7 linked regions of the Macaca mulatta genome follow. The protein of the gene in region 1 interacts with the protein of each later gene in a biochemical or structural test. Links are inferred from orthologs where the notes say so. Each region holds a gene or a part of one and is shown on either strand. Other genes may lie near its edges.

Evidence for each region.
Region 2: the proteins of ERBB3 (region 1) and NRG1 form a complex in vitro, tested with the Homo sapiens proteins (8 studies listed by BioGRID and IntAct, with this or other methods). The link is inferred for Macaca mulatta from reciprocal best matches to the Homo sapiens genes ERBB3 and NRG1.
Region 3: the proteins of ERBB3 (region 1) and PLCG1 form a complex in vitro, tested with the Homo sapiens proteins (2 studies listed by BioGRID and IntAct, with this or other methods). The link is inferred for Macaca mulatta from reciprocal best matches to the Homo sapiens genes ERBB3 and PLCG1.
Region 4: the proteins of ERBB3 (region 1) and ABL2 form a complex in vitro, tested with the Homo sapiens proteins (2 studies listed by BioGRID and IntAct, with this or other methods). The link is inferred for Macaca mulatta from reciprocal best matches to the Homo sapiens genes ERBB3 and ABL2.
Region 5: the proteins of ERBB3 (region 1) and BCAR3 form a complex in vitro, tested with the Homo sapiens proteins (2 studies listed by BioGRID and IntAct, with this or other methods). The link is inferred for Macaca mulatta from reciprocal best matches to the Homo sapiens genes ERBB3 and BCAR3.
Region 6: the proteins of ERBB3 (region 1) and SH2D1A form a complex in vitro, tested with the Homo sapiens proteins (2 studies listed by BioGRID and IntAct, with this or other methods). The link is inferred for Macaca mulatta from reciprocal best matches to the Homo sapiens genes ERBB3 and SH2D1A.
Region 7: the proteins of ERBB3 (region 1) and SRC form a complex in vitro, tested with the Homo sapiens proteins (2 studies listed by BioGRID and IntAct, with this or other methods). The link is inferred for Macaca mulatta from reciprocal best matches to the Homo sapiens genes ERBB3 and SRC.

The regions. Positions count from the first base shown.
Region 1 is NC_133416.1:63,230,624-63,234,671, forward strand, and holds the start of ERBB3 (receptor tyrosine-protein kinase erbB-3), read left to right. Parts: upstream 1-1,248; 5' UTR 1,249-1,378; coding exon 1,379-1,460; intron 1,461-4,048. UniProt on the Homo sapiens protein: Tyrosine-protein kinase that plays an essential role as cell surface receptor for neuregulins.
Region 2 is NC_133413.1:34,576,718-34,580,217, reverse strand, and holds part of NRG1 (pro-neuregulin-1, membrane-bound isoform), read right to left. Parts: intron 581-3,500; coding exon 478-580; intron 1-477. UniProt on the Homo sapiens protein: Direct ligand for ERBB3 and ERBB4 tyrosine kinase receptors. Concomitantly recruits ERBB1 and ERBB2 coreceptors, resulting in ligand-stimulated tyrosine phosphorylation and activation of the ERBB receptors.
Region 3 is NC_133415.1:93,999,907-94,004,139, forward strand, and holds the start of PLCG1 (1-phosphatidylinositol 4,5-bisphosphate phosphodiesterase gamma-1), read left to right. Parts: upstream 1-1,433; 5' UTR 1,434-1,501; intron 1,502-1,991; 5' UTR 1,992-2,112; coding exon 2,113-2,329; intron 2,330-4,233. UniProt on the Homo sapiens protein: Mediates the production of the second messenger molecules diacylglycerol (DAG) and inositol 1,4,5-trisphosphate (IP3). Plays an important role in the regulation of intracellular signaling cascades.
Region 4 is NC_133406.1:36,515,432-36,518,117, reverse strand, and holds the end of ABL2 (tyrosine-protein kinase ABL2), read left to right. Parts: intron 1-27; coding exon 28-1,751; 3' UTR 1,752-2,186; downstream 2,187-2,686. UniProt on the Homo sapiens protein: Non-receptor tyrosine-protein kinase that plays an ABL1-overlapping role in key processes linked to cell growth and survival such as cytoskeleton remodeling in response to extracellular stimuli, cell motility and adhesion and receptor endocytosis.
Region 5 is NC_133406.1:146,683,880-146,687,379, forward strand, and holds part of BCAR3 (breast cancer anti-estrogen resistance protein 3), read left to right. Parts: intron 1-2,549; coding exon 2,550-2,992; intron 2,993-3,500. UniProt on the Homo sapiens protein: Acts as an adapter protein downstream of several growth factor receptors to promote cell proliferation, migration, and redistribution of actin fibers.
Region 6 is NC_133426.1:130,812,685-130,816,184, forward strand, and holds part of SH2D1A (SH2 domain-containing protein 1A), read left to right. Parts: intron 1-2,653; coding exon 2,654-2,798; intron 2,799-3,500.
Region 7 is NC_133415.1:90,249,329-90,252,828, forward strand, and holds part of SRC (proto-oncogene tyrosine-protein kinase Src), read left to right. Parts: intron 1-2,388; coding exon 2,389-2,487; intron 2,488-2,667; coding exon 2,668-2,771; intron 2,772-3,500. UniProt on the Homo sapiens protein: Non-receptor protein tyrosine kinase which is activated following engagement of many different classes of cellular receptors including immune response receptors, integrins and other adhesion receptors, receptor protein tyrosine kinases, G protein-coupled receptors as well as cytokine receptors.

The sequences.
Region 1 (4,048 bases):
CCTGTTTAAGGAATGTTAGCCGGTAGTCTTTGCTAGGCCTGAGGGGTGAAATTTTTGTTTATCAAGACTCAACTGTTTTCGAAGTCTTCAGGCTTGAAGTTCTGGGGAAAATAACTAGGCTCTCTGGGCGAGATCCCCAATACCAGTTTAAGGGATTTGAAATGCAAGGCCGTCTGGGACTCCACTGCCACAGGCTGGGCACCAGGCGGCGCCGGTCGGATCCGTCCCGGGACTAGCAGGGCTTTGGGCCAGTCCGGGCAGCTGGTGCTGGAGGTTCCAGAGGTCCACGCCATTGGTGGACGCAGTCTCTAGTGTCCTCTCCGCATCCCGCTTCACCGCCCCACCCCTTTCCTGCGCGAGCCTGGACTTGGAAGGCACCGGGGAGGGTGTGAGCGCCTTGGTGTGTGCCCATCTGGGTCCCCAGAAGAGCGGCGGGAACTGCGGCCGCATGGACGGTGCGGCCAGACTCCAGAGTGGAAGGGGAGGCAGCTGTTCTCCCAGGCGGCCGTGGGGGGCAGCAGAGGGGACGGCGACAGGTGCGGGAGCCCCTCCCGGGGTAGAAGTGGAAAGGCGGGCTCCGGGGTCTGTTCTCAGGCTGGAAACCACCCCCGCCCCCCATCCAAATCCCGGGAGAGGCCCGGCCGGCGCCGGGTCTGGAGGAGGAAGCGGCCGGAGACAGTGCAATTTCACGCGGCCTCTTTGGCTCGGGTTCCTGGGCTGGGTGGATGAGTTATGGGGTTTCGAGTCTGGGAGAAACTGAGGTGGCCTGGACGTGAGGCAAAAAACACCCTCCCCCTCAAAAACACACAGAGAGAAATATTCACATTCTGAGAGAAAATCCACCAAGTGAACCAACCGGCTAGGGGAGTTGAGTGATTTGGTTAATGGGCGAGGCCAAATTTCAGGAGGCTGGGCTTTGGAGCGCTTACCACTCCCTCATTCATTACCCTTCCCTGGATCTGGGGGCTTTTGGAATCTTGACCTCCCCTTGGCTCAGCTCCTGCAGAAAAATTAGGGTGAGCCCCATCTTCGATCTGCTCCGCCAAGTTGCGGGACCGCGGGGCGTGGCGCGCTCGGGGCGGGCAGTCGGAGGCTCCGCAATCCCTACTCCAGCCTCGCGCGGGAGGGGGCGCGGCCGTGACTCACCCCCTTCCCTCTGCGTTCCTCCCTCCCTCTCTCTCACACACACACACACCCCTCCCCTGCCATCCTGCCCCGGACTCCGGCTCCGGCTCCGGCTCCGATTGCAGTTTGCAACCTCCGCTGCGCCGCAGCAGCCACCAATTCGCCTGCGGTTCAGGTGGCTCTTGCCTGGATGTCCTAGTCTAGGGGCCCCCGGGCCGGACTCGGCTGGGCTCCCTTCACCCTCCGCGGAGTCATGAGGGCGAACGGCGCTCTGCAGGTGCTGGGCTTGCTTTTCAACCTGGCCCGGGGCTCCGAGGTGGGCAACTCTCAGGCAGGTAAGTGGCGCGAGAGCACTGGCGGGCTCGGCACCTGGGAGCCGGAACCCAGTGCGCGAAGCCTCTGAGGGCATGGGCAGGGTCTCAGGCGGCGCGGGGGTGTGGGTGCTGCCCCCGTACGCCGGACCACCTGGGAGTGGGGCGATCAGGCTCGGGTTATCGGCGTGGTCCGGCCGAGGGCGGCATTCTTGGACCCTCACGCCCCCTTCCCCAGAGCGTCGTCGACCCTCTAATTGGTCTCCCCAAAAGAGGCTGAGGCCGCAACAGTAGTTCACACTTCTGAGGGACCCTGCAGGGAGCGGGGCAGGGACCTTAATTCTATAAACAGGAGGTGCTTGGAGGTGGGGGCCTTGGCGGAAGGGTCTCGGTTTGCTCGCCAGCTTCCTGCCCGCCACCCCGCACCGATTTCTGCTACTCTTAGTTTCGTTGTTTTGCCGACAGGGCGGAGCTACGGAAGGTTGGAGGGGGTTGTTGTTCTCTAGTGTTGGAAAAACAGGAGCGGCACCTCCTCTTCCGTGAGTGAGCCTGCCCTGGGGAGGTCTGAGATTAACCAGAGGGCCAAGTTCAGGTGACATCAGGCGGGAGGCCCAACAGAGGCTGGCGCCCGCTTTCCTCAGAATAGCAGAGCTTGAGCAACATCTCTTTGTCAAGATCCAGGTCAACCCAACTCATATTTATTGAGCATCTACTATATACAAGGCGCTGGGCCAGGAACTGTAGGGGCAAGGATTGTCCAGCCTCTTGTCTTTTCTCTCCCCAACCGGAGGATCAAGAGGGCACCTCTACTACTTTCTAAGCCTCCTGCCTTGGGGAGTCCTACCTGGGCCCATCTTGTGCCCCCTGCCCCCATTTTGCTTATTGTCTGAGGACCCTAGACAGAGCCCTGGATTGCTCTTCTCCAGTCCTCCCCCGACTCCCATGCTATCTGAACCCACCCCTTTGGGGTGTCTCTGGGGCCGTGGACACCTGAGGTTTGAAGTTCTGTGGATTTCCTCCCCTCCCCCCAGATTTCAGCTTGGGATTTGGCACAGCCAGGGCCCCTTCCCCAGTGTGGGAGTGGAAGAAACCACCTGTGCTTCCCCCACAGTTGCTGGGCCTAAATTTAGATCCTGGGATTTTTAGATGTGAACACTCCCAGCTGGTGGAGGGGGGTGGTCTGGGGACTGGCGTGGGAGGGAGCAGTGGGGTGACTGTATAACTGTCCCATCCAGACTCCTGCAATCTTCACCCAGAAACCCAGGAGTACCAGAGTCTGGCCACCCTCCCTGGGTAGGCAGGAGGCAGGCATGGTTGGGTCTCTTTACCCTTTATCTGGGTCCTGCAGCCTCTGGGCATCCGGCCCTGTCTCAGTCCTTCTATAGCCCCTTTGTCCTGGCTGTGATGGGGGTGGGGGATGTTGGAGGGGAGGCTTCTGGTTGAGGAGGGGCTGGAGATTCTGGCTCTATCCCACCCCTAGTGCTCTCTACCAAAGGAGCGCCTGTGCCACTGCCCCTCCTTATGCTCCCGGTCCCTGGGTACAGGAGGGATTTTTATGATTCCCTTCCCCTGCCCTGCTCCCCAAGCTGCCTAGCTCCTCCCCAGACGTGTTGTTTGTGCTCCCTTCCTGCCCAGGCCCTTTGCCCCCTGTTTGTGTAATACGGACTTTACCCTCAGGGGAGCAGGGAACTGGGCTACCTCTAACACTGTAGCCTTCCAAGCACAGACACAAAGTCTGCACAAACACATATGGGCACGTGGGATAGATGGGGCCACCTGAAATACTTCCTGCAAGGAAACCCGACCACAGGTTCCTGGGCCAGCAGGACCAATGTGTATGTGTTCATGTGTATGTTGTGTGTGTGTGTGTGCCCACACTACTACTTCCCTGTGCAGAAAACTTGGCTCCTCCCTTATCTGGGGAGAAGGATTGGCACTATAACTTGGGAAAGGGGGTGTCCTGCCAGGAAGGGGACTGGGGTGGGGCTGTTCCAGAAATGACTAACCTTCCTAGTCTCTTTCATTTCAACCCAAGGACCCTGGAGTTACCAGCTCCTCTGGAACTAGCTCTCTTTGCTGGGACTAGCCAACCTTCATGGGGAGTGATAAGGAGCCCTCCAAGGTCAAGAATTCAGACTAGGGGTATATAAGAGGGATTGGGGCCTCACCAGTCTCCCTCCCTCCATTCCCACTGTTGCCTCCCACTGACTACCACTGCCTCAGGGAAGGGTGGCTGGAACAGGTGGTATCTACCCCCTATTCCCCACCCCACACGTGGTCTTTCGCTGAACCAGAAGAAAGAGACTGGGGTAGGGCTTCAGAGTCCAGGATTTTCCATAGCCCATTGTCCACCACATTTGCAAAGAGTGAACTCCCAAGGCTGACATGCCATGTGCCTCTAGTCTAGGCTTTCCCCTAGTGCGGGTGAGGATTGCCATGGTGAAAGGCTTTTTCATGAACCTCTTCTAACAATGAAATTGGGTGGAGGCTCAGTGTGGGGCATCTCCTACTATTTCTCTCCAGGTGTCCCTGTATTTGCTAAAAAATACTCTAGGGCTGGAAAGTGATGCTGAGGTTGCTAGAGTGTGTTGGGATAGGGAGACAGAGTGAGA
Region 2 (3,500 bases), on another chromosome or scaffold:
TGGACTTGTTCTCAGTAGTCCTTTGAACTAAAGGTACTACTGCACCCTGAATGCAGTCAGTCTCTAACCCATAGAAGTTTTTCTAGGTGCATATTAGTTTCTTTTGGGGATAACTTGACTATACTAAAGCCCTCAAATGGACTTTTGCTACCTTCCTTCTCGTTTTAGAATGAGGTGCCTTCACTCTGTCCCACCCATACACATAACTTCCATACAAGCCTGTCCCTCCAGCCCTTTATCCATTCAGGGGCTGTGGTCATTGGACAGAAATCTTTACAGCACTTTCACATGAATAGAATATTCTGTGTTTAGGAGACATGCTCTGAATGGATTATTCGGAGGAAATAATCCCCCCCGCCCCTCCTTTTTTTTTTTATCCCCAAGACTAGGCTGTGGAGCTCAGATTCTGCAAAGCCCTGGCCATCTAAGCTGTCTCTGCATGAGGGAGAGAGAAAGGCATGGAGGAGGAAGGTTTACTTGGTTTTGCAGTAGGCCACCACACACATGATGCCAACCACAAGGAGGGCGATGCAGATGCCAGTTATAGTCAGCACTCTCTTCTGGTACAGCTCCTCCGCCTCTGGAAAGGGATGAGAGCAGATATCATCACAGGTCACTTCCACTTGCCAAGACTGACTACAACCAAACAGTGGGCATGCTGCATGACATTGTCCATGTTCACAAGAAAATAAATACATGACAATTCTTTATGTTTACACACATAGCTAATGTACAACATGCTCTGCACTATGCTTTGAACATAAATAACAAAGCCAGCTGGGGCCATTTACAATACAAATATTATACTCAAAAATTACTTCTAATGATAAGCTATAAATATATATATATTTGATAGTAAATTGGAAATCATAAACATTAATTATAAAATAACTATTTGGTTAAAACTGTAGTTTTTTTTTGTGAAGTCTTGCAAAATAAAATATAAAAAGCTCTTGCAAAGACAACAGGAATCAACATCAATTAAAGGAGCTGGGATTGGCAATTACTGGAGTCTCCCCTTCCTCCTTCCTCCCTTCTTTATCCTCCAGCTCCTGGCCTTTTTGTATTTCCCAGCTATTTTGTATCATCACTTTATATCCAGTGGTCTTTACAAAGAGTTATTTCTAACTTAAATATATTAAATTCAAAGACATTTGCAAACATGAACTTGGCTTGTAGTTACCTAGTAAATTGAGTCAGGCTCTCTGTGATTTAACAGTAAAATGTGAACACAAGAAGCAATACAATATGACGTATCAGGGCACTGTATCAAAGAAAATCCCATGTGATGGGTAGGACAGTTATGGGCCCAAGTGGAGACTTGTCCTTTGGAAGACAATTCTAATTACTCCACCAATTGGACTTAGGAACAAGTTTATTTGTCCAAAGAGGTCACCAGTACAAATGATGTGTGATTTGGAATAGAGTTCACATTCATACATTGGCCAACTTGGCAAATGAGCTAATGTAGGTTATGCTAAGGAAGTGTGATGCTTAGAACTTTGAACTAAAGATACTACTGTACCCAAAATGCAATCAGTCTCTAATTCATAGAAGTTTTTCTATTTTCGAATTAGTTTCTTTGGGGGATAAGTTGATTAGACTAAGGTAGGTCAGGTTCTTAACAAGATTTGCTGATTTAATAGGGACCCTGATCCCTTAGGACCTGAGCTTCCAGTGAGTCTAATTACATCTATTGGAAGATCTTCACAAGTTCACTCAGAAAGAGAACTCGACAGCAGTGTAAGCTGTTCACTTGCCATTATAATCAATAAGTTGGTCAAGAACTGGGGAATACTGTATAAACAGAGCTGACTTATCTGGACATCAACAAGGGACCCGCAAAGCCTATTTCCATATTACATCTGCAGTGGCACAACTACACCTTTAACTACACCTTTTTCTCTTTTGAGAGAGGGCAGCTTGCAAGAAGTTTTCTTGAAATGAAAAAGTGAATTTTAATTTCTAGGATACAGTGGACCTTATCATGAAACGAAACATTTCCTACAAGCCGAGCCCATGATAATCAAATTCCAGTGAACAGGTCAAGAACATTGTCAAATCAAATTAATATAGCACTGATTATTAACAGGAGGAGAAGGAGAAGAGAAGTCAGTGGGTAAAGGACTAGAATGCTGCATAGATTATACAAAAACAAATCAAAAGGAGGTGGAAAGGAAAAACAAACCAAGAGGACAGACAGACTGACAGAATGACAGAGAGACCAAGGAAGGGAAAACAAGGTTAAAAGTTAAGGAGCCATCTGAAGTCCCTGGCACAGCATGCCTGATACTAAGGGAGGAAAAATAAATAAAGAAAAGAAAACCAGAGGGAGGAAATGCTTGGGTGGGAAGAAAAGGTAGATGCAAAGTTGGAAGGGTCATTCCATACAGCATAACTCCTAATCTAAGCTAGCAGTCATGTGGAAGCCACAATTAGAAAGCGAAGCGGCTGGTGCATTGCGGTGAAACAATGTACTGGGAAATATTGCATTGGTGTCACAGATTTTTTTGTATGTGCAGCAAAAGTCAGATGAGGACAAGGAATGTGAGTGCTTATATGTTAATTGCGTGTGTCTGCTGCCTTCCCTCTCCCATAAACACAGGACAGGGAATTAATTTCTATGGGGTATCTGGTTGATGCTGCTGCTGTAGCCTCCCTTCCTGATCTTGGTATCTTGATCAGGTTTTAGGATACATGTTTAAGAAGCAGAGCTGTCACCCCACTGGTCCTTCTCCCTGGGACCCAGGACGCAGAGCACAGCTCCTTGGGCTGTGAGGAGTTGGTGAAGAAGTAGGAGTGTAGGTATTATTGCCAAGAGATGAACGCCCTGTATGACTGTCCTCTTTTCCTTACTCTACTGTTTTCTTCTTTGGAGATGGGCAAGCCTGTGGTCGTTCTTTTCTACTGATATCTTAACATCCTATCTTTAGAAAGAAGCTGGGAAACTGCTTCTGCAAACTTCAAAAACGGGGACATGGACAAGGGCTAAATGGGAAAAAGGCATCATGATTACTCTCAGGGATTCCTGGGACAAGTTGTCTTTTGGTTGTTAATTACAGAAGAATAGATTGAGCTGCGCTTGGAAACATATGGTGCATGATGACGGGTGCATTCTTTCTATGCTGTGTAGGCAGACACACATTTTCCAGTAAAATGATCATTTCATGGAAATAAAGAGGTAGCTCAGTAAAGGCCAAAGGGTAATGTAACAGCACTAAAACAAACTGATTCAAGCCAAGGCCCATAGAATACAGACGTGGGATTAAAATCCTGTATTCACATCAGCATCGACCAGATGCACTACAACTCTCATCCACATTGCTATTTGAATTTTTCACGGTTTGGCTCAATCAGGTGATCCCACACTATGAATGTGATCAAGGAAAAATACTTGGTGAAAAATAATATAAACAATAGATTCTTTAACCTGTTTTTCCCCATATTTTTTTCTTATGTGTCAGGTCAACTGGGGAAGAGCAAATTAGAGACAGACAGGG
Region 3 (4,233 bases), on another chromosome or scaffold:
TCATGCTGAATTCTGAGCTTCTTAGGGGATGCACTTGAGGATATCAACGAAACACACAAGTTTCCACTACAGCAAGACAAAGTCAGAAGCAGCAGCCCCAGGTCACTATCCAGCTGAGTAGGTTGCCTGAGCACACACTCTTACATACTTACAAACTCTAGTCCTACTATCCCACAAATCCCAGGAAGCCTGGCTCTTTCTCTGGCATCAGCTGGAAGCTCTGTTGGGCTTCTCACCTCTGAAATGCAGTAAGTTGTCCTGCTGTGTCTGGCAGCCGACCCACTGCCTGGCTCAACATATCAGACTCCACTGCGACCGTTGGTGTCCTCAATTTTGGCGGTGCTGACAGCGGCAGATAGATTGCAGGGGTGAGTTTCAAGAATGGCTTCAGAAAGACGAAGAGTATGAATTATTCCATAACCAGAAAAAGGCCTTGTGGCTGGAGAATGGAGAGCGAAGGATCACTTGTGAGAGATGAAACTGGTGAGATGGGCAGGTCATATAGAACCTGCTAGGCCAAGCAGCGAGTGTGGATTTTAGGTGCAATAGGAATTCATGGAGGGTTCTAGGCTGGATGTAGGGGATCATTATTTAATTTCATTGTAAAGACTTAAAGCATGGAGAATAGATCCAGGCAAAACAAAAGTGAATAGTCTGGGTGACAGGAGATGGGGCCTTCAGCTTGTGGGTTCAGTGAACAGATCTTGATGGATTGGAGGTGAGGCAGAGGGAGCAAAGTTATCTGCAAGGTTTTTGGCCTTCCAACTTAGAGGAGTTTAGCGCCACGTTCTGAGAAAGTGAAGACTGGAAAGAACCGTTTGGGGAGGGAAGGTGAGCTGTCTAAGGTGGGGGGATGTGGCACATGCAGTGGGATGCTGGGGCCTGGAACGTAGGGGAGATGCAGGTTTCGAGTCATCGGTGCCTGTGTGGCGGGTAAAGCCAGGGGAAAGGTCAGGTCGCCTTGGGATCTGGCCTAGCACTGAGTGCAGAGGAAGAGAAGCTTCTGAGATCGAGAAGCAGCGGCCACAGGAGGAGGAGGAAAGTAAGGCGGGGAAAATCAAAGTTCAGGAGAGCATTTGCAGGAGGGGCGCCCGGGATCAGACTCCAGTCCCGCCGCGTGGAGACGGAGCGTACAGAGGCCCATGCGAAGGACAGACACAAAGGCCCTGGGAGCTGCAGGTCAGGCCGCTGGGCAGCGCGGCCGCGGACTTAACGCCCCTGCAAGGGGCTGGGGGGAACTCTCCGAACGAAAGGACCACTGAAGGCCACCCTGGCAGCAGAGGCGGAACAGACAGACGTGGGTCTGGCCGTCCCAAGAGCGGCCAGGGGCCAGCCCCGCGCTGCCGGGGGGCGGGACATGTCGGCTGTCCATCAGTGCCTGCGGCCAATCCGCAGGCGGCCCCGCCCCCGCCCCTCTCAGGAGAGGGCGCGCGGAGAACCCGCTGCCACCGCCGGTGTGAGGCGGCCCGGCCTGGCTCCCTTCGCCGGGAAGCCCGCCCAGGTAACTGGGTTTGGCCAGGCATGCCCGGAGGACGCGCCACCTCCTCGCGTCCCGTCCTGGTCGCTGCATGGGCGGTGTTCGGGACGCGGGGGCTGCGTCTGTGCGGGACCGCGGGCTGGCAGACGCCCGTGCGAGTACGCCTGACTGGCGCGCCGGCTGCGGGGCCTGCGGCCTGTGGGCGGGGCTGCCGTGCGTGACAGGGCCGCTCGTGGCCGCCGGGCTGTGTCCGGGGCTGCGTGAGAAAGCTCTGCGGGACTGAGGGCTGGGTGGGTCGACCGGGAACGGCGCGCGCTCCCGCCGCCATCGAGCCTCCGTCCCCGCCTGCGGCCTGTCTGGGGGTCGTGGGGCGCAGGCGCAGCGGGCCGGCGGGCGGGGGTCCTCCCCACGGGTGCGCGGGCGCCTTTGTTCCCGGCGCGCGAGCGGGGCGGGGCCTCAGGGCCGCCCCGCCCCGCCCTGCCGCGCTCAGGCCCCGCCCCGTGTCCGCCTGCAGGAGCAGCCGCCGGGTCCCGCTCGTCGGCCGCCTCAGCCTCAGCCCCAACCTCAGCCGGCGTCGTTGCGCCTGCTCCCGGGCCGTCCCGGCCTGTGCCGTCGCCGCCCCCAGCGTCGGAGCCATGGCGGGCGCCGCATCCCCCTGCGCCAACGGCTGCGGGCCCGGCGCGCCCTCGGACGCCGAGGTGCTGCACCTCTGCCGCAGCCTCGAGGTGGGCACCGTCATGACTTTGTTCTACTCCAAGAAGTCGCAGCGACCCGAGCGGAAGACCTTCCAGGTCAAGCTGGAGACGCGCCAGATCACGTGGAGCCGGGGCGCCGACAAGATAGAGGGGGCCAGTAAGTGCGCCCCCTTCCTGCTTGGGCCCGCCGCGCGCTAGGGTCGTGGGAGCCCGGCCCAACTGCCTGCGCCCCGGCCGGCCGCCCCAGCGACTTGGGCAAACTTTCGGGCCTTCCCCCACCCCCTCGGGGCCCCGCCCCCGCTTCGTCTCGGGTGGTCACTGGGGGCGGGGGGCATCCGGGTCCTCGGTCACCTGACAGGACACCCCCTCCCCCAGCTGGGGGGAGTTACTGTTCCTGGAGCTTTGCCCTGAGGCCTAAAAATCCTCGCGGGCTGGAGATCTGCGGTGCGGGCATCGGGCCCCCCCAGACCCTGGGAGTGGTGGTGGCATCGTTGAGGGGAGCTAAGGCAGCGGCCCCAACCCAGCACGGGAACCTGGGGCCTGACCAGACGGTCCCCGCCCACCACTCTTTTTCCAGAAAGAGCAGTCTGTGAAACTCTCCGGGCCCCCAGGCTGGGCTCTTGGTTGCAAAGGAACCTTTGGGTTCCCTAAGTAGAACTTAGGCAGATGTTGGGTAGGGCTGGTCTTGGAGCAGAGCCGGGCCTACTCATCTCCCTCTGGGGGAGAGGGAGGAAGGTGGTCTTGTTTGGTTTGGAGAAGCCTGAGAGAAGGCAGTGGCTGTTTTTTTTGTTTTTGTTTTGTTTTGTTTTGTTTTTAATGCTACTTTTGTCCCAAAGCTGAGTTTTGGAAGCCTATGTGGGTGGGCAGACACTCAGTGCCAGAACAGGGACTCCCCTTGCCCTGGGAAGCACGTTCCCAGAAGATGGGCCCCATAAAGGCCTGCCCCAGCGCCTTGGAGTCAGGTACTCTTCTCAGGAGTGCAGCTAGTTTGGAGTCTAGCCCTTTGTCCTCTGTCCGGTGGCTTCAGGGAGCGGGAGCGGCTTCTCTTGGTTTCCTGCCTTTTCGCCTTCCCAGGCCTGAGCTTGGCTGCTTTTGTGCTGGTCTGTAGTGGGAGGAGGGAGTTGGGGGATTTTGAAAAACCCCAGATCTTTGAGAGTTGTTCCACTTAGCGCGTGCCTGTGCTGTGGTCGGATGGGCACTCTGCTTTGCCACTCCATTCCCCCGCCTCTCAGTGTGAAGAGATGGTGTGTCTGCAACTCCAGACTAGGTTGCTTCTTGCAGGGACCCCCGGAGACTGGGGTTAGAGAGACCCGGGCTCAGAACCAGGTCTGTGTGAAGGAGGGGGATCAGGAAGTGACACCCCAAAGGGGGGGTCCCACAAACCTTCTTGGGTATGGTGTGCATGTGTGTAGATGGTTGAGGAGATTGGGAGGAAGGAAGGTCTTGTGGTGAGGCAGCCAGCCATCCTCAGCTACAAACTCCAGATCTGACACAGATCTAACGCAGCTGCTCAACTTAGAAATGGCAGCCGCCTTCCTCAGTGCCCCCACTGACCCTGTCAGCCACTGGGAGAATATTTTAGTGACTTGAGAGCCTGTGGATTCCAAAGTAGAGGAAGGATGGGCACTGCAAAGAGCTGAGATAATCCTGGGAACGTCACTCAGGCATCAGACTCCAGGCATGGTCCCCTTCCTTGCTCCCTATGCTGTGTTGAGTTGGTGGCACTGGCTGAAAGTTCTCAAGAGATCTCCTGGGTAACAGACTGCATTTTAAACCATGCATATTAGCAGGCAATAAATGTAGCACAGTGGTTGATGGCAAGTCTGGATTTGAAGCCCATATATTTGTTGTATGTTTCCCAGCCAGTTACTTACCTTCTCTGAGTCTTGATTTCCTCATCTGTAAAATGGGGGTAGTAATATATCCACTATATATGGTTGCTCCAGGATCAAATGAGACAATTCATGTAAAAATATCTAGCATTGTCTGACACATAAATGTTTAATAAATGTGAGCTGTTATTAGTAATAACATTAACAATAGACCATGGCTGCCCTTCAA
Region 4 (2,686 bases), on another chromosome or scaffold:
AGTTACTGATCGGCCATTTCTCGTCAGGGTTCGTCAGAGGTGCACAGGCCTCCAGTGGATCCCCAGCACTGCCTCGAAAGCAAAGAGACAAGTCACCCAGCAGCCTCTTGGAAGATGCCAAAGAGACATGCTTCACCAGGGATAGGAAGGGGGGCTTCTTCAGCTCCTTCATGAAAAAGAGAAATGCTCCCACACCCCCCAAACGCAGCAGCTCCTTCCGAGAAATGGAGAATCAGCCCCATAAGAAATACGAACTCACGGGTAACTTCTCATCTGTTGCTTCTCTACAGCATGCTGATGGGTTCTCTTTCACTCCTGCCCAGCAAGAGGCGAATCTGGTGCCACCCAAGTGCTATGGGGGGAGCTTTGCACAGAGGAACCTCTGTAATGACGACGGTGGTGGGGGTGGGGGCAGTGGCACTGCTGGGGGTGGGTGGTCTGGCATCACAGGCTTCTTTACACCACGCTTAATCAAAAAGACACTGGGCTTACGAGCAGGTAAACCCACAGCCAGTGATGACACTTCCAAGCCTTTTCCAAGGTCAAACTCTACATCTTCCATGTCCTCAGGGCTTCCAGAGCAGGATAGGATGGCAATGACCCTTCCCAGGAACTGCCAGAGGTCCAAACTCCAGCTGGAAAGGACAGTGTCCACCTCTTCTCAGCCAGAAGAGAATGTGGACAGGGCCAATGACATGCTTCCAAAAAAATCAGAGGAAGGTGCTGCTCCAAGCAGGGAGAGACCAAAAGCCAAGTTATTGCCCAGAGGAGCCACAGCTCTTCCTCTCAGAACGCCCTCTGGGGATCTAGCCATTACAGAGAAGGACCCTCCAGGGGTGGGAGTGGCTGGAGTGGCAGCTGCCCCCAAGGGCAAAGAGAAGAATGGTGGGGCACGACTTGGGATGGCTGGAGTTCTAGAGGATGGAGAGCAGCCAGGCTGGCCTTCTCCAGCCAAGGCTGCCCCCGTCCTCCCAACCACTCACAACCACAAAGTGCCAGTCCTTATCTCACCCACTCTGAAACACACTCCAGCTGACGTGCAGCTCATTGGCACAGACTCTCAGGGGAATAAATTCAAGCTCTTATCTGAGCATCAGGTCACATCCTCTGGAGACAAGGACCGACCCCGACGGGTAAAACCAAAGTGTGCCCCACCCCCACCACCAGTGATGAGACTACTGCAGCATCCGTCCATCTGCTCAGACCCTACAGAAGAGCCGACTGCCCCGACTGCAGGACAGTCCACGTCAGAAACACAGGAAGGAGGAAAGAAGGCAGCTCTGGGTGCAGTGCCCGTCGGTGGGAAAGCTGGGAGGCCAGTGATGCCTCCACCTCAAGTGCCTCTGCCCACATCGTCCATCTCGCCAGCCAAAATGGCCAACGGCACAGCAGGTACTAAAGTGGCTCTGAGAAAAACCAAACAGGCCGCTGAGAAAATCTCAGCAGACAAAATCAGCAAAGAGGCCCTGCTGGAATGTGCTGACCTACTGTCCAGTGCAATCACGGAACCTGTGCCCAACAGCCAGCTGGTAGACACTGGACACCAGCTGCTCGACTACTGCTCAGGCTATGTGGACTGCATCCCTCAGACTCGCAACAAATTTGCCTTCCGAGAGGCTGTGAGCAAACTGGAGCTAAGCCTGCAGGAGCTACAGGTGTCCTCAGCAGCTGCTGGTGTGCCCGGGGCAAACCCTGTCCTTAATAACTTACTGTCATGTGTACAGGAAATCAGTGATGTGGTGCAGAGGTAGCCACTGTTAGCCTGGTGGGAAAATGCACACATTTCTGAGGGGAGAGGGAAAGGGACTTGTTTTCCTGTGTTCTTGTTTTCAGAAAATGAAAGACTCATACTTGAGTGTGTTTATGTGAAGTACCTCAGATCCCTGAGTTCTCACGTTTACAGTTTCATCTCAAAAATAAGAAGCAAACCACATAAGTATAGGAGAGGTAAATTAAGTGGGGGCGAGGCAGTCGTGGACAGGGTTGGAAACTGCACTGGAAAATAGGGAACATGTGTATGTCATAAGGAAGGCAATGCAGCCCATCCCTACCTGGGATGCTGGGAGGTGCTAGGCAGGGCTGCTCTCAGCAAGACCGCAGCAGCTGCACCCAGACCTGGGGCTCTGGTAGGTACCAATGGTGATTATGCTCCAATTTACCTAATGAATTTGGTGGGACAGAAGAAAGGAAAGCTGGGAATATACCCAGATAAATTTTTGTTCAGGACTGTTGGAAGCAGATGTTAGCCTTGCTTGCTTCCACAAGGCCATTGCTGCTGTAATAAGAACTGCAAATCAGAGCACTACAACACAAAACTGGGAAATGTGGCCCTACCTGAATGCCTCTGTCCTGTTTTCCGCTGGTGTATTAGTGCAGGAAGTAAAGAATGCTGGAAAGTTGAAGCAGGGGATTGAAAACCTTCTGAAATCTTACACAGATTAGCAGAAGTCACTTCTCCCAGTCTGGTATATTATTTCATAATGGACCAGGATCGGCTTCCTGCTTGTTGGTGGCTATCTGTAAACCATAAGTACAGGGGTCTCCCTAGTGGTTCTTCTCTGTCTTTTGCTGGGCAGGCTGTCTTCCTTTATTCCTGGTAGCATTCAGAGCATTAACCAGTGTTGATTTTGAAAATAGTAGTCCCTGCAGATTCTCACAAGGGAATGAATCCTGTTGGGATACAGTT
Region 5 (3,500 bases), on another chromosome or scaffold:
AGCAACCGGAAGAACTAGGAGGGCGGGGTATGGCCCAGGTAATTGAACTCTTGGCCAGCTGCCAGCAGCCTCAGACCATTTTGCAGCCCCTCCTTCTCAAGGCAGTGGCTTAGCTTCGGGAGGAGAGAGGGCGGTGGCCCAGACCAACAAGGCTGCCTCTGGCCCGGTGAGCTGGCAGTTATTCACACTCTCCATGGCTTCCCTGCTGGATCCCGTGACCAGAGGTGGGGAAGAAGGGGAATTAAACCCATGACCACAGACTCGTGGCCCAGAATATACTGTGCGATCGTCATTTGGGTGATTGCCATGAATAATGTTTTTTCATTTAATACTGTAAAAATTGAAAAATAGAGTAAGTCCGCAGAATTGAGGCATAGAATTTCCCTTGGGTTTTTATTGTAAACCTGACCTGGCCAATCATTAACCAAGGACAACATGACAGGAAATGTGTGGACAGGGGCTGGGGGGAAGGGCATCATGTCTTAAGTTTTTTTTTGTTTTTTGTTTTTTTTGAGACAGAGTCTTACTCTATCGCCCAGGCTGGAGTGCAATAACACGATCTCAGCTCACTGTAACCTCTGCCTCCTGGGTTCAAGCGATTCTCCTGCCTCAGCCTCTCCAGTAGCTGGGATTACAGGTGTCCACCACCACGCCCTGCTAATTTTTATATTTTTAGTAGAGACAGGGTTTCACCATGTTGGCCAGGCTGGTCTCGAACTCCTGACCTCAAGTGATCCACCCACCTCGGCCTCTCAAAGTGCTGGGATTATAGGCGTAAACCACTGCGCCCAGGCTTTTTTTTTTTTTTTTTTTAATGTATCAGATTTCTTGGCACAATCAAATAATTATTATTCTGACTTTTTTTTAAGTTTAAAATTGATTGTAGAAAATATACATAGCAAAAAGAAGGAAATTAAACTCATCCATAATTCTCCTCATAATTCTCCTGGGGATAACCATGATGAATACTTTTGTGTACAGACATCACCCCAGGCTTTTTGAAATCAAGTATGAGATCGTACTGCATATACTTTTTTGGTAGCCCATTCTACTCACTCACTGTGTCCTGGGAATTTTCACCCACTGTAGAATATTCTTCTGCACCAGACTATGTTGTATGTCTGTCCACGGTATGCATGCACCACAATTTATTGGACACGTAGAGTGTTTCTAATACTTTGACCAACATCCTTTATGATTGCTATGTTCATACCTACAATTATTTTCACAGGCTCAATTCTAAGAAATGAAATTTCTATGTGAAAACATTTTTAAGGCAAAGATGCAATTTTAAAGTAACCATGGTAGCCTACTCTTTTGAGCTAGCAGAAGTATGCTGTTGATCAAATATTGGAATGTCCCAGAAAAATTGTCAGAATTATAAAACTGATGACTATCACCACTGTCCGTCTCCTTATCATGGTCATCAAATTTGTTTATTACTAGCCATGAGTATTAATTTTCAGTGATAAATCGTTCCAAACTGGATAACTGAACACTATAACCATAACCATAATAACAAGTTATTGCTAACATTTTAGCCCCTTAAATCTTTATAGCCATTCCGTAGGTAATATCATCATTTGTGTTTTTCAGATGATGTAAGTGAGCCACAAAGAGATTATGTAATTTGTCCAGAGTCATACAGCTGAGCCAGGATGCAAACCCAGGTGGTCAGGCTACAGGAACAGCCAGGCTGTACCACATTATAAATTCTTCAGTTGCTATAAGCAGCAGCATCATGCTAGTTAACTATTTTTGAGCATCCACCGTGTTCCAGCGCTTGCATATGTTATGTATACAAATACATAACCCTCATAGTAACTGTAAGATGGACCCCAGCCTGACTTTGTTCCAGGCCTCCTAGCCAGTAATTGGTGTGTCCAGAATCCATACCCTAGTCCTGCATGCAGAGTCCTCCTCCCCATTGGCCAGGCCTGGAGAGGGGCATCTTAGGAGAGGGCCCCGAGGACGACTTCTGGACACCAACAAATACCTTCTTTCTCCTCACTCCACTTGTTGGGGAGGGAAAATCAGGCCTGCCAGGCACACGTTTTCTCATTTCTTATTTCCTGTTGCATTACGTCATTCAGGTCCGTATAAACATCATGTTCTTGTGACACCTCCCCAACCACCCTGTTTTACTGGACAGCCCTCATCCCCTCCCCAGCACTCCCTGCCTCCTTTCCTGGTTCACTTTTTCCCTGAGCTTACAACTGGCGTGCATAGCTGTTGGTTATTTATCCTCACTCAAACAGAAGCTCCCACCAAAACCAGGAGCTCCATGAGCTGGGCTCTTCGGTGCCGCTGTCACCACCGCATCCCCTGAGCCTGCAGTGGTTCTTGGCACGAGTAGGTGGTCAATGAACACAAGGTGAATGAATGATTGGATCTCCTATGAATTTGGTATTTGAAAAACTAAAGAACTGGCCCAAGAAGAGACATAGTAGCATTGTCTTCTGTTGGCCCAGAGAAGTGGGTAGCCATAAGCTTTTAGAAGGAATGTGAATTTGCCTTTCCTACCCCTCACTCACCTTTTTGTCCCAAAGGTGTCGGAAAACCTTGTGCAGCGAGATGGCGACTTCCTAGTTCGTGACTCTCTGTCCAGCCCTGGGAACTTTGTCCTGACCTGTCAGTGGAAGAACCTCGCTCAGCACTTCAAAATCAACCGGACGGTTCTGCGGCTCAGCGAGGCCTACAGCCGCGTGCAGTACCAGTTCGAGATGGAGAGCTTCGACTCCATCCCTGGCCTGGTGCGCTGCTACGTGGGCAACCGCCGGCCCATCTCCCAGCAGAGTGGCGCCATCATCTTCCAGCCCATCAACAGGACGGTGCCCCTGCGGTGCCTGGAGGAGCGTTATGGCATCTCCCCAGGCCAGGCCCGGGAGGGCAGCCTCACCGAGGGAAGGCCAGACGTGACCAAGAGGCTGAGCCTCACCATGGGTGGCGTCCAGGCCCGAGAGCAGAATTTGCCCAGGGGAAACCTCCTCAGGTAGGTCAGGGTCTCCTCCTCAGGACTATGAGGGGCGCCGGGGGTGCCCAAGGTTAGTTAGGCAGATGAAGAATTCATCATGGAACAGAGAAATAAAAGATGTTAATAGGAATGCTGACTGTTCGCGGAATAGCAGTCATGAGGCAGTGCACGATCAGCTCCTAGCCGAGCAGGGCCAGCAATGAATGGTACAGGAGCTGAGGAAGGATTGTGGGGGCACTTACAGGGGAGACCTTGTGAAGGGGGTAGGCTTAGGCTGGTCTGATGACTGGGGGAAATTTGGATAGATGCTGTAAAAGGCAGGGGGTGTTCCAGGTGGGAGGCACAGCATGGGCATAAGTGTGGGGACAGAAAATGCCACGAAGAGCTTGCAGTGAGTGTGCTGATGGGGCTGGAACAAAGGGTCTGTGCAAGGGACCTGTAGCAGTCGGCTTAGGGAGGTAGCCCCAGCCATATCATGGGGGCCTTAATGCCAGGTGCAGGGCTTTGAGGGAGCTGCACAGATTCA
Region 6 (3,500 bases), on another chromosome or scaffold:
CAAAGCTGGGTAAATGATAGATATTAATACTGATTTTTGGAACAATGTTTTAGTTTGCCATGCTGCAGGAAAAATCAGGGCAGTAACACGCCATCATCTGTGCATATATTGTGCTAGAAATGTAGGTAAGTGAGATTTGTTTTAAAGAGTGTAATGAAATCGAACCCTGGCCCCACAGAATTATGAAAGACAGATATCATGTGTATTTCTAGTTTTAGAGAGATTTTTAGGTTAAATCATTGCCTAGTGTATTATCTTATATGACTCAGACTAAAATTTTGCTAAATTGTTAATTTAGATAATTCTACAATCTACTTTCCCTTATTAATATGTGAATTGTTGGCAATACATTATTTAAAATGTACTGACATCACAACAGTGATGTCACCCTGTTGACATCACTGTCTTCAGGCTTTACTGGGTATATGATCAGGAGATCAGCAGATGTTAAATAATTGTCCTTATTAATCTAAGTAAAACACTGTAAAATAGGCCAGTCATTTGCTTATGAAACATCAGATCCCCAATTCAAATAGCTTCCATACCTCCAGTGCTATTATTCCTCTCTGTTAGCATGGATAATCAAGTGTTAACTACATATCAGTACCCATAAAAATGATGCTTCTCTGTTTTGTTTTGTTTTGAGGCAGAGTCTCACTCTGTCGCTCAGGCTGGAGTGGTGGAATGGCACGATCTCGGCTCACTGTAACCTCTGCCTCCCAGGTTCAAGGGATTCTCGTGCCTCAGCCTCCCAAGTAGCTGGGATTACAGGTGTGCGCCACCACGCCCGGCTAATTTTCATATTTTTAGTAAAGCTGGGGTTTCACCATGTTGCCCAGGCTGGTCTTGAACTCCTGAATTCAGGTGATCCACTGGTCTCAGCCTCCCAAAAAGCTGGGATTACAGGTGTGAGCCACTGTGCCCGGCTATGCTTCTGTTGATAAATGGTTTTACAAGCCACAAGAACAGCCAAAAAGATGTGTGGTTTGAAATCTTTCCACACTTGGGGAGTGTACAGTTTCTCTTCTGGTTGATGACCCTAGCTTCGCTAGATCCTGTTTGACCCAGTTCTAATCTGAAAGGCAAGAGACTGGGTCCTGGGATTCAGAGCCAGTTCTGCCTCTGGTTGTCTGTGTGACTTTGGGCAAGCTGATTAATTTCTTTACATTCACATTTTCTTATCTGTCAAATGGGAATAACTGAATAAGCCAATAACTGCCATTTTGTGAGGAAATAGTGAAGGCAAGAGATAGGAATGTGCTTTGCAAATGAAAAAGTGCACTGAGGAGAGTATAAGGAGGCAATTTGTGCCTATGGCCTGCATTTGCAATTTGGAGATTCTATCTTGGAACCAAAGAACTGTTTGGATTTCTGCAAGAATGGCCATGTTATTTTGGATGAGTTCTCAATCAAGCTTTAGGAAGGTGGAGGGTAGGTGAGAGAGTGGGGTGGAGCTGGGTGAGAGAGTGTTCTACATCTACTGTGAACATATGGGGGAACACTAATATAGAGCTAAAGAGAATTTTTGTCATGTTTTCAATGAAAAATTACCCCAACATAAGGAAATGACTGAGAGTTACTATGGATAGTGTAGTATGCTATCTTCAGCATACCGCTGTCTAGCTGACAGAAGTCTTCATGCCAGCCTTCATGTTTTCTCATTAAATTCTAAAAAAACAAACAGCTCCCACCTCAAAAATCTTCCAGATGGAATAGCTGAAAAACAACTTAAAAAAAAATACTAGTCATTGTTCAATTGCTCATAGCAATACTACTTTATTTTATGTAAAATGACAGTTTTGAGCTGATGCCTGAAGCTTGGCTCATAAGCTTTTGCAGGAAATTGTTGTTGATTTCAGGCAGTGTCTTTGCAAGACAACTGATGTCAGGAAAGGAATACATTTTAATAGTTACCTGCAAATAACTGTCTCTTTAAAAATACACAAATAAATAAAGGTGACCTTATATAGTCTTTCATTTTCATGTCATAGAGAAAACCTTGTTACAGTGACATGCTGATGAAGAGAATAATTTTGGGAGTATAGGGAAGTTTCCCAAGGAGGAAAAATTTTAATGTGAAGAATGACGCAGGAAATATTATGAGATGAAAGAGTATGAGGACTGAACTAGCCGTGCACTGTGTGTATCATAACAGCCAATTTTTAATTTCCTGTGTAGCATTTTATATTGTGGGATGATGGCAGGGAGGATGGGTTGTTGGTTTTTCTTTTGTTGTTGTTCCTCAGGCTTTTTATTAATGACCTGTAGGATCTGTTTTTTTTTTTTTTTTTCCTGTTTAACTGCATCCCCTCTGTTGGTGAATTCATTGTGGGTAATGGCCTGTATACCCTTAGAGGTTTGAGATGTCTGATGGGGAGCAGGCAGGAAGGGCAGGGCGATGAGCAAGAGCTTCTACAAACTAATACCACCCTTGGGAGAACTGAAATGACAGCTCATTAGCTCCTCTTGCAGGGAAATTCAGCCAACCAAAGTAAACTCTTCTGGAATGTTGTTTTTCCTTCTTTCTTACGTTTTCAAATATTTCAACAAGTTACACAACTGTTACCTCTCTTAGCATCCCTAGCACATTTTGTAGGTCTTTTTGTATCATTTTGAGATAGGTAAATAATTTTCTTGGCCTTTTATTTTCCAGACAGCACCTGGGGTACATAAAAGATATTTCCGGAAAATAAAAAATCTCATTTCAGCATTTCAGAAGCCAGATCAAGGCATTGTAATACCTCTGCAGTATCCAGTTGAGAAGAAGTCCTCAGCTAGAAGTACACAAGGTACTACAGGTATGATTTACTCTTAATTTTTGACAGGGTTTGGAAGCTCAGATTTATGAGTCAACCTATTCATAACCATATAATCAATTAGAAGTTATGTAAGAAAAATGCAATGAGAAAGTAGATGTAGCCAGCAAGTCAAATGAGAGGTGACAATTTATGTGCTATAATTTTAATCTATTACTCTATAAACTTTTAATAAATCACTGTAAAATCATCAAAAATTCTATAAGCCCATAACGTTTTAACTGCTCTTGTCTGTCTCATCTTGTTCTTTCCTGTCCCTTTTATAGGTAGCTAAGTATCATTTCACTTCACTAATTCAGACACAAATAATGTGAAAGATGGTATAATTCAGAGAACACCTGAGCTGTGCTTTACCTTTGCTTAGTAAACTTTTTTTCCTACAGGGACATGAAAGCTAATGTTAGCCTGGCACACACGATTCTGGTTTCTGAATCGGTGGTGCTTGAATTAATGACATTTTTCTGAAGCAAAGGAAATTAAATAGTAGACTTTATTGTTCCACTGGCACAAATTATTACATATCCTGAGCAAACCTATTTTAGTGTATGTGTCATGCTAAAGACTGAATACCAGCCAATGTCTGTAGCTATCTGATACGTGACTGTTTACTCCTCTATTGAATGGGGTTTATCATTTGTTTGGAGTAAGAGGATCGGCCTTGATTGAAACAATAAATATTTATGA
Region 7 (3,500 bases), on another chromosome or scaffold:
AGTCCTTGCTTTGTAGCTTTGGGCAAGTCCCTGCACCTCTCTGTCCCTCAGTTTCCCCAACTCTCTAAAGAAAGTGCTGGCCGGGGGTGGTGGCTCACGCCTGTAATCCCAGCACTTTTGGAGGCCGAGGCAGGCAGATCACTTGAGGTCAGGAGTTCGAGACCAGCCTGGCCAACATGGTGAAACCTCGTCTCTACTAAAAATACAAAAAATAGCTGGGCTTGATGGCGCTCGCCTGTAATCCCAGCTACTTGAGAGGCTGAGGCAGGAGAATCGCTTGAACCCAGGAGGTGAAGGTTGCAGTGAGCCGAGATCACGCTGTTGCACTCCAGCCTGGGCGATAAAGCAAGACTCCATCTCAAATAAATAAATAAATAAAGTGCTGGGCTACTCTGGCCTGGGTGCTGTGTGCCCCTGCGCTGATCCCTTGACACTTCTGAGCCACAGTTTCTTCATCTGGGGGCCCTGCCTTCCTCCCTTGCAGGGTGGCCTTGAGGGTCAGTGGGAGAGACAAGTGTGGACACCCCGGGTGGGTATACAACAAGGAGGTAGGTGGGGATTTGGGACATCCAAAGGCTTCTTTCCTTGAGGTGGATCTTGCCCCCTTACTCCAGGGTCCTCCCTCCAGTAACCCCACATAGCTTACTTCCCTGCCTGAGTGTGTGTCCAGCCATCACAGAGCCGAGACAGGCCACACAGCCCCAGTCACACGCCCTCGCCTCACTCCATCAGGAGGGGACACCACACCCTCTGGCTCACTTCTGGCAGAACCCCAGGGTCTCAGGTGCTCACCTGTCCTCTGACAGGTCCCTGGAGAGCTCGCCAAGCTCTGCTCCCTCCTGGCCTCAACTTCTCCATCTTCTATATGGGCTGAAGAATATGGCCAGGGGCAGCTCAGAAGAACTGGGAGCCAGGGATCCAGGTTCAAGTTCAGATTGTGTGACTGTAGGCAAGGGCCTTTCTCTCTCTGGGCCCTGGTGGTGGGTGGGGGCCACCCTGCCTGCAGCGTGTCTTCTCAGGGTCGTGGTGAAGTGCAAAAGTGGCCTTGGATTGAGAAGAGCCCAGCAAGCTGTCAAGCCCTGTTGCACCCTGTAGGGAGCACTCCTTCTGTCTGGGAGTCAGGAGCCCCGGCCTGGCTGTGTGACCTTGAGCAAAGAGGCCTTTGCTTCTCTGGCCTCAGTCTTCCCAGCTGTACAGTGGGAATGAGAGGGGGCTGGACCCTAGTTCCCAGGTCTCCCTGCCCATTGACCTCTCCTCACTCCCTGTGGACCCTGTCCCTGTCCCCTTGGTTGCTTTGGATGTGAGGCCTCTGTGGCTGCCCCCTCGTCCCCTGTCCCCAGCACCGCCTGGCTCTCCCGCTCTCTCCCCTGCTCTTTCTGCCACTCTCCGCCTCTCACCACCCCCATCTCTGCCTCTTCTCTCCTGTTGGGCTCTCGCTCTCTCCTCCCTCCTCTGTGTCTCTGGACCCCCGCTCCAGCCAGACCTGGTTCACATTCAGATGGCTGCAAAGGTACTTCCGCCCCTCCCCGCTCCCACCCAGGCCCAGGGGACCCAACCACGCCGGGAGCTCCTCCTGCCCCTTCCCCATCACCCGCCCCCCCCCCTTTTCCTCACTTTCGCATAGAAGTGCCCTGGGCATCGGGGCTCTGCCACCTCACCCCCTCTGACAGGGCTCACTGTGTGACTTTGGGCAAGTCCCAGCCCCCTCTGGCCTCAGTTTCCCCCTGCAGATGGGTAGGCTGGAGGAGGGGGCCTGTAGTTTTCAACTGAGGAGCCCTTTAGGTGTGACCCGTGATTTGGGACAGAGGCAAGCCTTGCTCTCGTTTGCAGGGTTGGGGCCTGGATGGTCACTGGGTCCCAGAAGGGCCCTGCTTGCCTCCACCCAGGTCTCACCAGCTCCCAGGAGCAGGCTTCCGAATCTCAGAGCATGGGGACACTTTCAAGTCTCACTTGACTTTCTCTCAGGCAGGAGTCTCTTCTATTACAACCTTGCTTGCCCGCAGAGACAGGGGGCTCCCTCCCTCCCTCCCAAGGCAGCTCTCCTCATCTTGAGATGTCTTGGTACATCTGAAAGGAAGCGACTTTCTTCCTGTCCCGGGACTCCTCCCCTGTGGATTTGAGCCTCAGATGACTAAGGCCAGTCCTGCCCTGGTCCTAGACAAAGTCCATCTGATCCAGCTTCGGCAGAAAGGCGTCTGGGCCAGGGAGGGGAGGAGTTCCAGGCCAGCTGGACCTGGCATGCTGCGGGGACTCATGCTGGCCCCACCACCTCCCTGGGCCTCCCTCAGCCACTAGAGCCCTGAGCACAGCACCTAGGAGGATGGTGGGTGCTGGGCTTGTGGCTGACGGCTCCTTTCTCCTTTTCTCCCTCCTTCTGTCCCTGCTCAGAGAGGGAGACTGGTGGCTGGCCCACTCGCTCAGCACGGGACAGACAGGCTACATTCCCAGCAACTACGTGGCGCCCTCCGACTCCATCCAGGCCGAGGAGTGAGTACTGTCTCTGGCTGCCTCTACCCGTCGTCCCTGGACACTGCCGGTGCAGAGCACCTCTCCTGGGCTGGGGTGGGAGGTCTGGCTGCCCAGCGCCCCAGCCATATCCAGGGAGAAGTGCTATGAGTGGGCAGAAGCCCGGACAGTCAGCAACATCCTCCGTCCTCCCACTCCCAGGTGGTATTTTGGCAAGATCACCAGACGGGAGTCAGAGCGGTTACTGCTCAATGCGGAGAACCCGAGAGGGACCTTCCTCGTGCGAGAAAGTGAGACCACAAAAGGTACGAGCACTCTCGTTGGCCAATGGATACTGAGTCTTCTGTGAGTGGTTTGAGCTGAGTGTTGAGGAATGAGCAGGAGTTTGGTTTGTGGAGTAGGGAGGGAAGAGCCTTCCAGGTGGAGGTAACGGCAGGATCAAAGTCAGGGAGGTGCATTTGAGGAACGCTGAGTAACCTGCGGTGGCCAGATGTCCAGAGAAAGATGAGGCTTAGCCTCTCTGGCCTCAGTTTTCTCAAATGAAAGATGGGCATAGGTTGTCTGGAGGTTTTTCTGAGTGTCACACAGTAACAGGCTTGTTCCCAGGGTAGGTGCTGCTACAAAGAGCCCTGCTTCTTCCCCTTCCCCAGGGGTCCCTGGGCTGCACTGGATTCTGGAGGCTGGCTTTGCCCTCCCCCAACCGCAGTCCTGATCCCTGCCCCTCTCATGTCCCTCCCCTGAGCCAGAGAATGAAGACCATCCCCTTTCTCTCCAGCCCCTCTGAGAGTGGGTTGCAGGCGCCCATCACCATGGCAACCAAGCTGGGCTGCTTCCTGTGGGCCTGGGGCTCAGCGGGAGATGGGGAGCAGAGCATCCATGTCGAGCCGTGCATTTACGTACAGTTGTGCGGCCGTGTGCGGGTGTGCATGCTGTGTGTACGTCTGGGCGTGTGTGTGTGTGTGCATGTGGGGTGGAATTGTCTGTGTGTCGCTGTGTGGGAATGGACTGTTGTGGTTTGTCTGGTGCCCGAGGGC